Ovis aries: one gene and its partners. The protein of the gene in region 1 interacts with the protein of each later gene in a biochemical or structural test. Links are inferred from orthologs where the notes say so. Each region holds a gene or a part of one and is shown on either strand. Other genes may lie near its edges.

Region 1 (4,163 bases):
TTAGCTTAAATCTGGAGGGCAAATCTGGACCTAGAGTTACATAAACCCGAACGCCCCTGTTTTACGTAATTGTTCAACGGGGAAAAAAAAAAAAGTGACGGAGGAGAAAGCAGTATTATGGAACCAGTAAGGCAGAAAGAAAAAGAAACTCAAAGTATAGAAACAAAAAGACGCGGGAGTGGATAAACTCCAACCTGGGAGTCTCGGTGGAAGGAGACTTTTGCTTCCATGAAAGTGGAGGAAGATGCAAACTAACATCCACCATCAAAACCAGTAAAAACCAGGAAATCGTCAGGCAACTCAAGTCTCTCCCGCCCCTCAGCGGCCTCAGCTAAGCCAGCTAGGCCTGAGCCCAAGAGGTGTTAAGAAGGTTGGGGTGCGACGGAAACCACCCTGCACCCCAGGGCTGGACGGTCTCGCGGGGCGTCTCCCAAGCTTCCGCCCAAAGGCCGGTTTCCCAAGACACGTAGCGCGTCTCTCGGTGCTCACCTGCCTCGGAGCGGTTCTAACGGCCTGCAGCTTCACCTCCGCCACCTTCAAGCCCCTCAGCAGAGGACCCGCCCCCTAAGCACTAGAGCCTCTTCCCATTGGTCAGGCCGCTCGTCAGTCTCGGACTCTAGAGACCGCCATAGCAACCAAACGCAGAACTACATCTCCCGGCATGCTTTAAGGCGACGCGCTTGGGGCTACCAATTAATGCGAGAAGACCAGCATAGCAACCGAACGCGGAACTACATCTCCCGGCATACTCCAAGGCGACGCACCTGGGGCTATCAATCAAGGCGCGAAGTCCTAGAGGCCGACGGGTTCAGCTTTATGTAAATTTGTTCAAGACCACACCCTTCCTAATTCCAACCACATCCCCACCACCTTCCCGGGACTGTGCCCCGCCCTCCTTGTGCCGCCACATTGTTATCTCCTGTGACACCTGCCGTTAGTTGAAGACGTCCTAACTTGTACCTCGCCTAGCACAGCATCGCCAAATGGCACCGAGACCATGGAACAAAACGTCCCGAAGCCCCACACCAGACGCCTCTAGGCACGTCGGGAAACCCTACGCCAGACGCCTGCTTCGGGAAAGGGGGCGGAACGGCGGGGGGCGGGGGTTGGGGGTGGCCAGGTCCCGCCCCCTCTGAGCTTGCTGATTTGTCGATCCGGCTGTCACTCCCTCCTCTTCCAGGTTTTTTTTTTTTCAGTTGCGTTTCCCCCGCGGTGGGCGGGGCTAGAGGGAGGGGGCGAGAGGAGGTGTGAGCCCTTTCTTTCGATTGGTTGTTTTTTCACTGTCCCCACCCACCCCCCGTGGGCGGAGACGGAGGGGCGGAGAGGGCGCGGGGGAGGCAGGTCCCGGGGGAGATGAGGAGATAGGCGGGAGCGAGGGACTGAGGGAGAGGAGCGAAGGGAGGCCGAGAGCTGAGGTGGAGACGGGAGGGCGCGCAGCTTGGTTGCTCGGTAGTACGGCGGCTCGCGAGGGAGAATCCCGGGCGGACTCCCGGACGCCCCGAGAGGCGGGCGGGGATGGTGTGCGGGGCTGCGGCTCCTGCGTCCCCTTTCCGCGGCGACTGAGCTGCACTGATTTTTTTTTTTGTCCCCCTGAGGCGGCAGCGTGGACCCGCCTGGAGATGAGGTGAGGAGAGGGCTGGACCGCGTCGGCCTGCCTTGCACCCGGCAGGCGGCCGGGGCGAGGGTGGGCGCGATGGCCGCCCGGGACGCCAGTCCACCCCCCAGCCCCGACCCCGGGGCCGGTGTGCGCGTCCCTCCCGGCGCCCTTCACCCTGAGCCGCACGCCCGGGAGGCGCCCTGTGACTCGTCCTTCCCATCCTCCCGAGCCGCCGGGGGTGGCTGGGTGGGTGGTGGTGGTGGCGGCCGGCTGGCACGCGCCGGGAGGCCGGGGCTCCGCGGCGGACCGAGGCTGGGGGGTGGGCGGCGGCCGCGGGACGGGCTTCTGGGGGTTGAATGGGCATCGGTCGCCGTGGCCCGCCGAGCTGGGGGGAGGTCCCGTCCTTTCTCCAGGGGCACGCGGGGCAGTGGGGTCCCTTGCAGGGCTGACCTCGCTGCCCGCGGTCGCCCGAGTGGGGCGGGCCGGCCGAGCCTCGCCTCCCCGCCAGCCTGCCGGGGATCCGGAATGCCCGGCCTCTCCTCCCCGGCTCATCCCTTCTCTCTCCTCCGCCCGCAAAAAAAAAAAAACAAAAAACAACCTACCCTGTCAGTGAAGGGCAGTCAATGCCGTTTTGGCCCCGCGTCCTCCAGCTGGGACTGACTTGACTCCGGTGGTATTTCACAGAAAGCGGCTCATCCTTTCAAGGGGGGAGCGCGTTCCCGGTGTCGGCCGCTTCCTTTTCCCCTTCTTTACGCACTGACACGGTTTTACAGTGTGGACCGAAGCCACAGTTACCAGGCTCTGTCTGGCTTGACCGAGGAAAATGCAGTCAGAATCCCCAGGAAAAGGTAACCGACGAGGAATGGGGTTGCGCCTTTCCCTCTTCTTGTTTGCCTTTTGGATTAGGAAGCACCTTCGTAGATTACATTTCCTATGGGCATCTTTTGTTGTGATTCATACTAAAGGCTTTGTTTTTGAAGAAAACCATTAGGGGCGTCTGTGTTGAGTTGAAGGCTCTGGAGATTTTTTGATAGCCTCTGAAAATGAAAGTTTCCTTTAGAACTTTGCCATCCTCGGTGCTATTCTGGAGGCAGCACCAGCCTGAAAATTTAAACAGATGCGACTCCGAATAGTTGCGTTTCTTTGTGCTTTATCTGCTGGCATCCTGCTCTTAATGTTTACGTGGTCGGGACGTCCAAATAAAACAAGTGCAATAAAAAGTATAGATAATAAAAAACAAGTACCGTGCCAAAAATGCGTCTGGAAAATCTCAATTCTGTCATCGGGGAAACAGTTTTTACTAATCCCTTTGAAAGGATGAAGACCAGGCTCAGAGTTTATGTAGTGGACAGGATCTGAGGGTATGAAATGGGACCATGGAGCCAGCAGGCCGGCTGGTATATGTAGTGCTACTCTTACTGTCTGAAATAGGAGTATATTTGTTGGGATACCCTTATTTTTTATATGACTTAAGGTGCAGAAGCTTAGTACCCCCCCTAAAGTTATGATTTCTACTTATTATGGAGAACAAAATACTGTGTTTTGTTTCTAAATTTTTAATAGTTCACCTGAAACATGTTATTTTTGAGTTTGCTTATAACAAAAGAAGAAAAACATTTTTCAGTATTGAGTTCTTTCTGTAGGACAGTTGTAAAGAACCCCAAAACTTTAGGTAATCCAAATTCAGAAATGAAGGACACTAATTTAGTGATGGTCCAAAAGCTATTTAAGACTTCTATAAGTAGCTGCAGTAGGGTGAATTTCTGATAGAATTGTTTTTGAAGGCTATTTATTTAAGAATGTATCTATTGAAATTTCTGAGGCACATGGTACCTTCACAAAAGTCTATTATTATTCTGCCTGAGTAAGAGAGGAAATGAACACATTTTTGATGTACTTTGGAACCCTGTGGATTGTTCAGATACTAAGCATTGTGAAATAGGGCATAAAACAAGTGGTAGCAAGTTAGTTCCCTGAAATGTTTGTGTCTCTTAGCTTTTTTTTTTTTTGCAATTGACTAGCAATTTCCTTTTTCTTAATGCTTATCCCTATTATTGGAAATAAAACTCTGCTTAAATTCATGTTTTCTCCAAATTACTAGATTGAGGCAAACTCAAATCTCCATAAAGAGGGTTAAGGAGGAGGTGTGATTAAATCCCTCTACTCTTACTCAGCTTTTTAATGTGGATTTGTGAATTATAGGGAATTAATTACAGGTCGGTCGGGTTTATATTACTCAGTTCACATTCCACTGCCGTAGGGCTCTTCTCTTGTGAATGATCTTTCTCTTCTGAATAGTTCCACTTACTGGCAGGTTTCTCAACGTGTAGACCTCAGATCACTTACATCACCATAACCTGAAGTTCTTGGTAAAAATACAGACTCCTGGAATCTGATTTCCAACAAGCTCTCCAGGAAGTTTTCTTACACAGCAGCATTGGAGAACCACTGGCATCGTGGTTCCTTCTCACTGAGTGGCCCCAGACTATGTCCTGAAGAGGATGGCGTGTCTTTCAAGTGACAGAATAGCTTTCATGCCTTGGACATCTAATAAAACACCATGACC
Region 2 (3,500 bases), on another chromosome or scaffold:
CTGTAGCCCACCAGGTTCTTCTGTCGATGGGATTCTCCTGGTAAGAATACTGGAGTGGACTGCCATGCCCTCCTCCAGGGGGATCAAACCTGCATCTCTTATGTCTCCTACATTGGCAGGCAGGTTCTTTACCACTAATGCCACCTGGGAAGCCCAAAATGGGTAGTTACACCCTTTCCAAAGATTTGTATGTTCCACTGGACCGAAATAAGGAAAATGACAGTTTAAAATGTTCTGAGCCCTTGAGTACCAGGTGTGAATTTGTGCCAGGACTGGGTGAAATACAAGTCTCTGTGTTTAGGAGGTGGGTTAATGTTCTTAAAAATCCCTCAGTGTTACCTGGTCCAGGCTCTGGAATATTTGTGGAGAGAATATTTGTGGAGAGAATATTTGTGGAGGTTTTTTATGCCATTGGCTTGTGTCTCATTTATTTGTTATTTAAATATATGTTGAGCACATATCACATGCTGGGAACTGTGTTGTTATGCACTTTATAATCATTTAATTCTCAATTCTATTATTATCCATATTTTACAAATAAGGAAACATAGCCTCAGAGAGGGTAGTTGTTTGCTTAGAATCACACAGGGAATTTGTGGCAAACCCAAGATTTCAACACAGTTCTAATTCCCCTAGGGCTATGCTTTTTCATTAAGCTACAGGTGGAAGTGTTTCTGGGGGAAGTATTTCAAAACATGGTCTGGGAGTTCTCAAAAGATGCAGATTCTGAGCCCTTTCTGGAAAAATTTAAGCATGTCTGGAACAATTTGGTTGTGTGAATCTATAGAGTAATATGTGAAGCTCATACGACGTTTCTATCGGACAGCTCTGGCATGGACCCCTGCCTCCCTCCCCAGATTCAGCCCCCCGTGGCTGGCCTGTGTCTACCCGAGGCCAAGCCGGCCACCCACTTCCCTGGTCCTACTGCCCCCCAACAAGGTGGTGAACCCACGTTGTTGATCATGAGATGCATGATCGTCTTGGGCATGAGGTCCCGGACAGTCTTGTTGACGATGGCCATGTATGAATCCACCAAGTTCCGGATGGTCTCCACCTGCCGCTCCAGCTGTGGGTCCATGGAGTGCATGAAGCTGTCCGAGCCGTTCTCCTCCGTCTCACTGGCCTGCCATTAGGAACAAAGGGCATCAGGGTGGCTGGGCCCTCAAAGCCAGGTACAAGGCATCCCCAGGGTCCCAGCCCCTTCAAGGATGGCTAGAAGCTGGAGCACAGAGAGAAGCAGCTGGCCTATATACAAAGACACCAGCTCCCCCATAGCTCTGGGTCTCTGGACACGAGTGCCCACCCTAGTGCCTCTCAGGACCCCAGGCCCTCATTCAGCCTTGTCTTGGCTCTGACTCTAGTACCTAGAATTTGCCTTACTTTTCCAGTCCGTAAATTAGGAAAAGGACATCTCCAAGGTCCCTTCTGGATTCTAAAGACCTGGCCAGATCTAGCCCTAGGCTAGAGATGCCTGGCAGAGGCACACTCTGCCAGGGAGGGGCACACTCACTTTCTCTTTGTCCTGGGAGGCCCACACCAAAGCCACAGAGGTCACCACATCAGCATTGCCACCACCGCCGCCGCCACCAGTGAGCATAGCCGAAGCAGACACACATAGAGAGGAAAGAGGAGAGACTGAGTAAGCAATCTGGGCGCTGCACCCCAACTCGAAGGCAACTCTCGACTTTGTCACAGTGAAAGAGGGGAGAAAAGTGAGAGCAATCACAAGAAACCACCATCATATGAAAGGGATACAGGAAACGCCATCTGCAGCAGAAAAGGGTCATGTAAAATGGCACTGGAGAAGGATGGGAGGAAGGCTTAACTGATCCCACCCCGAGGCAGGTAGGGGGAGGATCCCTGCTATTTCGGAGCCCAATACCTCGAAAATATGGCACGGCTTGGCATCACTGAGGGTGGCTCCCCTGCAGGACCCCTTATTTTAAGCTGCTTGCCCCTCCCTTACCTCCCCTGCCACTCACCCCAACACGCTCAGGGTACACGCCAGCCCTTAGAAAGGAGGCCTTCCAGCTGTCCACCTCCTCCTGTGTCTCGCAGGCCAGCTCCAGCTGCCGATAATCCTTGTAGACATTCCTGCAAGGTGGGGCCAGTGGTGAGGGGAGACAGGGCAAAGCCCCTTCACCTTGGTAGTTAAGGGCACGCGTGGACCGGGGTCATCATGCCTGCAGGGCCAGTCCTGGCTTTCTTATTTCCCAGCTGTGGCAAGTCCCTTCCTCTCTCCCAGCCTCAGTGTTCTCATCTGGAAGATGGGTTAATAATAACAATTCCTGGGACTTCCCTGGTGGTCCAGTGGTTAAGACTCCATGCTCCCAATACAAGGGGCCCGAGTTCAATCCCTGGTCAGGAAACTAGATCCCACATGCTGCAACTAGAGAACTTGCGTGCCACAAGATCGAAGATACTGTGTGTTGCAACTAAGACCCAGCACAGCCAAATAAATTAATAAAAAGTTAAAAATAGTAACAAGTCCTGCCTTTTAGGGTCCTTGTGAGAATTCAGTGAAATGAGCAGTAAAATACTCTATTAGAAAGGGACTGAGGCCTCATCAAAGGGGCACCCGTGACATTGCAGTCCTTGGTTTAGATCTCAAGCCCCATTGCCCCCTCCCTGGCTTTCTCCTCTTGGCAGCTGTATTGAACCCGCATCTCTGAGTGGGAGAAGGGCCTCTAGAGTCAGCCCTGGGTTGGGAGGTGAGAGGCCTGGTACTGACAGTATCTTACCCAGGGCAGTTACTAACCAAGTGCTTGCAGAAGGGGAGGAAGGAGGGAAGGAGAGACAGAAGGGGAAAGGGAGGGAGGTCAGGTGGAAAGGAGAAAGGAAATGGGGGCGGGGGGCACAGGCCAGGAAGGAGATCTTGACATGAGTCTAGCACAGAGGAGAAACTCAACAAATGTTTGTCAAATGAATGACTTGCTGGGGGGCTGGGGGCAGGTGCCTCTCCCTTCTGGATCTGCGGGCCCCATGGGGGCAGGCGGGCACCTCTGCTCCGTGTTGAAGAGGGCAAAGATGTGCTTGCTGGACATGAAGCCCTTCTCCACGTCCCGCAGCTTCAGGTTATCCACGGACAGCATGTACTTCTTCTCTTTCTCCTGAGGGAGAGCAAGGAGTGATGGTGAGGTTGGCGCTGTTCTCTGCCCCCACTTCACTCCGTAAAGATGCTCTGTGCTGGGGCAAGGGGTTGGGGTGGGCACCTGGGACTAGGGACCACCAGCCCCCTAGAACTGCGCAGGCGCCATCTGGTGAGAGCCTGGCCGCAGAGCCCTGGGCCTGCTGGACACCTTGGCTCAAGCCCTTCCCACCACCTCCGCATTAGTGCCAGAGCTCAAGAGCCCGGGGTGGTGAGGCTGAGCTTGGCTCCCACATCCCGCCCCAAGAAGCCCTGGATACAAGCCAAGTCGGCCCCAGCCAGGGACCCCCACACTCAGCCTCTCTCGCCCCCGGCCTGGCCAATGGGGTCTGCGCTGGATAAGCCTCTGACT
Region 3 (3,500 bases), on another chromosome or scaffold:
GCCTTTGCACTGGCCAGGCCCCCACCCCCAGGACTGCACAGCCGCTTCCTCACCTCTTCAGTCTCTGCCTGACTCTTCACTGATCACTTGACTTTAAACAGCACCCCAAGCCTACCCTGGCGCTCTCCAGCCCTTCCCCACTTTGACATTTTGCCATTTCACAGATTATTCACATGTTCTTATTTACTTATCTTGTCTCATCCCTCTCCTCTCCCCTTTCTGAGCACATGGGGTGTCTGCCCCACACACTGGAGCAACCCTAGTGCACAGGACAGGGCCCAGCACACAGGAGGCTCCGGTGAAGGGTTTGCTGAACAGATGGATGGGCGGGGAGCCTATGGCTGGGAGGAGGCCCTCGAGCCTCCTGGGGGAGTGCCAGGCTGAGGGAGGGGCACGTACTGCAGCAGAGCTTTGGTCTTGCGTGTGGGGTCATCGGGCCGGAAGTTCTTGTACTCCTCCACCTCCTTCTCCAGGGATAGCAGCTGGCTCTGCAGCTTGCTGCGCAGGGCCGGCAGTGATTCCCGGATGTGGTTGGTCAGTTGCTGTGGGAGAGAAGTCAGAGGTCAGCACAGGCAGGATGCTGAGAAGGGGCAGACCTGCTCCATCCCCAGCCTCAAGGGACCAATGGAAACCCCGAGCAGCAGGGAAAGGTGACACAGCCTGGTCCACAGCAGCGCAAGGCTGCAGACAGCCCACGGGGACCTGGGAGAGGGTGGATCAACTGGGCCACGCACACCATGGATCAAGAGAGCAGGACCCAAGTGCTGGCCGTGAACAGCCAGTGTTGCTCACTGGAGAACAGAACAAAGTCTAGGAGGGACTTCCCTGGTGGTGGTCCAGTGGTTAAAAATCTACCTTCCACTGCAGGGGTCAGGGGTTTGATCCCTGGTCAGGGAACTAAGATTCCACAGGTCGTGGGGCAACAAAGCCTGGGTGCCACAATTAAGACCTGATGCAGCCAAATAAATAAGTGAATAAAGCTGTAAAGGCTACAAAGCCACTGCAGGACCCAGGCACGGGAGGACTGACAGACAGGCCATGGTGTATGGACAGACCACAGGAACAGGCCCTACAAACCATGACAGAAACAGTTCACCGGAAAAGGCACAGGACACATGTAGGATGTGGTCCCTTCTGAGAAGATGGGGAGAACTGAGAACTCACCTTCATCAGCACAGGGTGCAGGATGGTTCAGGAGGCTCAGGAGGACCCTGCCCGCAGACCACCCCCCACTGTTTGGTTTTTAACCATGGGGACTCGTTCGTTATTCACAAACTTTAAAAGGAGGCAGCGGCGCAGAAAAGATTAGGTAGTGAGCCTTGAGATGAGCTGTTCACGAAAAACCTAGATAGAGACTTCTCTGACGGTCCAGTGGCTAGAACTCCTCGCTTCCACTGCAATGGGCATGGGGTCCATCCCTGATCAGGGAACCAAAATCCGGCATGCCACAAGGCATGGCCAAAACTGAAACAAGTCAGGTACAGAGCAGCGGGTAAATATGTTAACTGTTCGGGTGGCAACAAGGAAGATGGAAAGCATAGAACAGGAAAAGAGAGGAGGCGGGGCACGCGGGATGAGCAGGCAGGAGGGAGGCCGGCAGTCCAGGCGCATCGGCCCCTCCAGGGTTTATAGCCTTGAGAAAGAAGCCCAGGAAGTGGCGACACGGGCCGCCTGGGGGTGGTAGTCCGGCGGCCTGTCGCGGCATGGGAGGAAATGGAACATTCACTGTATCCGGACTGTCGTTTTAAAAATACTCTTTCAAAAGAGAAAGAGAGAAGGAATGAAAAAAATAAATAAAAGCCATAAAATCAACTCAAACCACCCAAATGGAAACGCACCGCTGTGTGGTGCATTCTGTCCTACAAGACAAAGAAATGACAAAATACCGAGGTAGGAAAAAGGTGTGAAGGAGACTCGCGCACCGTGGCATGAATCTGACGGTCACCCCGAAACCCTCTGTGACCGGGGGCCCCTTCCTGGGGAGCTGCAGGTCCCCGAGGGCGGCAGTCCACTCTGGTCCCTGTCGCCTTTCTGGGGCATGACCCTGTTTAGCTCATGGGGTGATAGAGGGGTGGGGGGACCCCGTTCTGGGAAGCACCAGGATGTGGGCCCAGGCTCCCAGGAGGCCAGCTGGGCTCTCAGAGGAAGCCCCAGGCACCTGCAGGCAGTTTTACTTCCCTTCCCCTCCCCCCGCCCCTCTGCCCAGGCAGACCCCCGCTTCCTTTCCTGCAGGGCCCCTCCCACCAGACACTCACTTCCCTGTTTGTCCTCCTGAGAGGTATGCTCTGCCTTTCCACCCTCTGCCAGCCCACATCGCTTCCTAACACTTGAAGTGTTCCTAGCCTTTACCTGGCGATTTGTCCTGAGTCAGTGCCCCCAGTCAAAAATATGCCTTCCCCTGGCACTTTCCTGGTGGTCCAGAGGTTAAGATTCTGTGCTTCCACTGCAAGGGCACAGGTTCAATCCTTGGTCAGGTAACTAAGATCCCACATGCCATGTGGCATGGCCAAAAAATTAAAAAAAGAAATATGCCTTTTCCCCAGGATAGGGCCCATCTCCCCAACTGGCACTGTGTCCCACTGCAGGCAGGAAGAACTTTTAAACTGTTACCCTGCGGCCCAAGGTGCCACCATATAGCACCGAGGAGGGATAACTCATAAGCCCAAGGCCCCAGAGGACCACAGTGCCTGTTACACCGGAGCTACAAAACCCCACCTCACAGATTTCACTCTTGGAGAACCTGGCACACATGCAAAACAATGCTATTAAACAGCAGCCCAACACCTTCTCACCTTTTGGCTAAGATCAAGTGTGAACATTAGCCCTTTATTGACTGGAAGCCTCAGAAACCAGCCACATGGCTCTCCAAAAAGAGCCTGGAGAGTTGGACTGTGAAAAAAGCTGAGCGCCAAAGAATTGATGCTTTTGAACTGTGGTGTTGGAGAAGACTCTTGAGAGTCCCTTGGACTCAAGGAGATCCAACCAGTCCATTCTAAAGGAGATCAGTCCTAGGTGTTCTTTGGAAGGAATGATGCTAAAGCTGAAACTCCAGTATTTTGGCCACCTCATGCGGAGAGTTGACTCACTGGAAAAGACTCTGATGCTGGGAGGGATTGGGGGCAGGAGGAGAAGGGGACGACAGAGGATGAGATGGCTGGATGGCATCACGGACTCGATGGACGTGAGTCTGAGTGAACTCCGGGAGTTGGTGATGGACAGGGAGGCCTGGCATACTGTGATTCATGGGGTCACAAAGAGTCGGACACGACTGAGCGACTGAACTGAACTGAAACCGATGAGGGCCCGTGTGTCCAGGGGCTTCTACAGGGCCATGAAAAAGAGTGAAGAAGGCTTCTATAGGGACAGAGCTCCAGGAGATACTGTTGAGTTTAAAAAAAGAAAAATGGGGGGCATCCATGACTATGGATAAAGGGGGAAATGTGCTTCTCAGAAGTCCTTTCTGCATTCATGGACAGAGAAACTCAGGCAGTGTTTACAGC

What was found.
Region 2: the proteins of ITSN1 (region 1) and DNM1 form a complex in vitro, tested with the Homo sapiens proteins (2 studies listed by BioGRID and IntAct, with this or other methods). The link is inferred for Ovis aries from reciprocal best matches to the Homo sapiens genes ITSN1 and DNM1.
Region 3: the proteins of ITSN1 (region 1) and DNM2 form a complex in vitro, tested with the Homo sapiens proteins (2 studies listed by BioGRID and IntAct, with this or other methods). The link is inferred for Ovis aries from reciprocal best matches to the Homo sapiens genes ITSN1 and DNM2.

Annotation. Positions count from the first base shown.
Region 1 is NC_056054.1:122,553,501-122,557,663, reverse strand, and holds the start of ITSN1 (intersectin-1), read left to right. Parts: upstream 1-1,363; 5' UTR 1,364-1,624; exon of another isoform or gene 1,625-2,744; intron 2,745-4,163. UniProt on the Homo sapiens protein: Adapter protein that provides a link between the endocytic membrane traffic and the actin assembly machinery. Acts as a guanine nucleotide exchange factor (GEF) for CDC42, and thereby stimulates actin nucleation mediated by WASL and the ARP2/3 complex.
Region 2 is NC_056056.1:8,035,095-8,038,594, forward strand, and holds part of DNM1 (dynamin-1), read right to left. Parts: intron 3,111-3,500; coding exon 3,001-3,110; intron 2,095-3,000; coding exon 1,983-2,094; intron 1,523-1,982; coding exon 1,511-1,522; intron 1,124-1,510; coding exon 953-1,123; intron 1-952. UniProt on the Homo sapiens protein: Catalyzes the hydrolysis of GTP and utilizes this energy to mediate vesicle scission and participates in many forms of endocytosis, such as clathrin-mediated endocytosis or synaptic vesicle endocytosis as well as rapid endocytosis (RE).
Region 3 is NC_056058.1:13,098,865-13,102,364, reverse strand, and holds part of DNM2 (dynamin-2), read right to left. Parts: intron 543-3,500; coding exon 400-542; intron 1-399. UniProt on the Homo sapiens protein: Catalyzes the hydrolysis of GTP and utilizes this energy to mediate vesicle scission at plasma membrane during endocytosis and filament remodeling at many actin structures during organization of the actin cytoskeleton.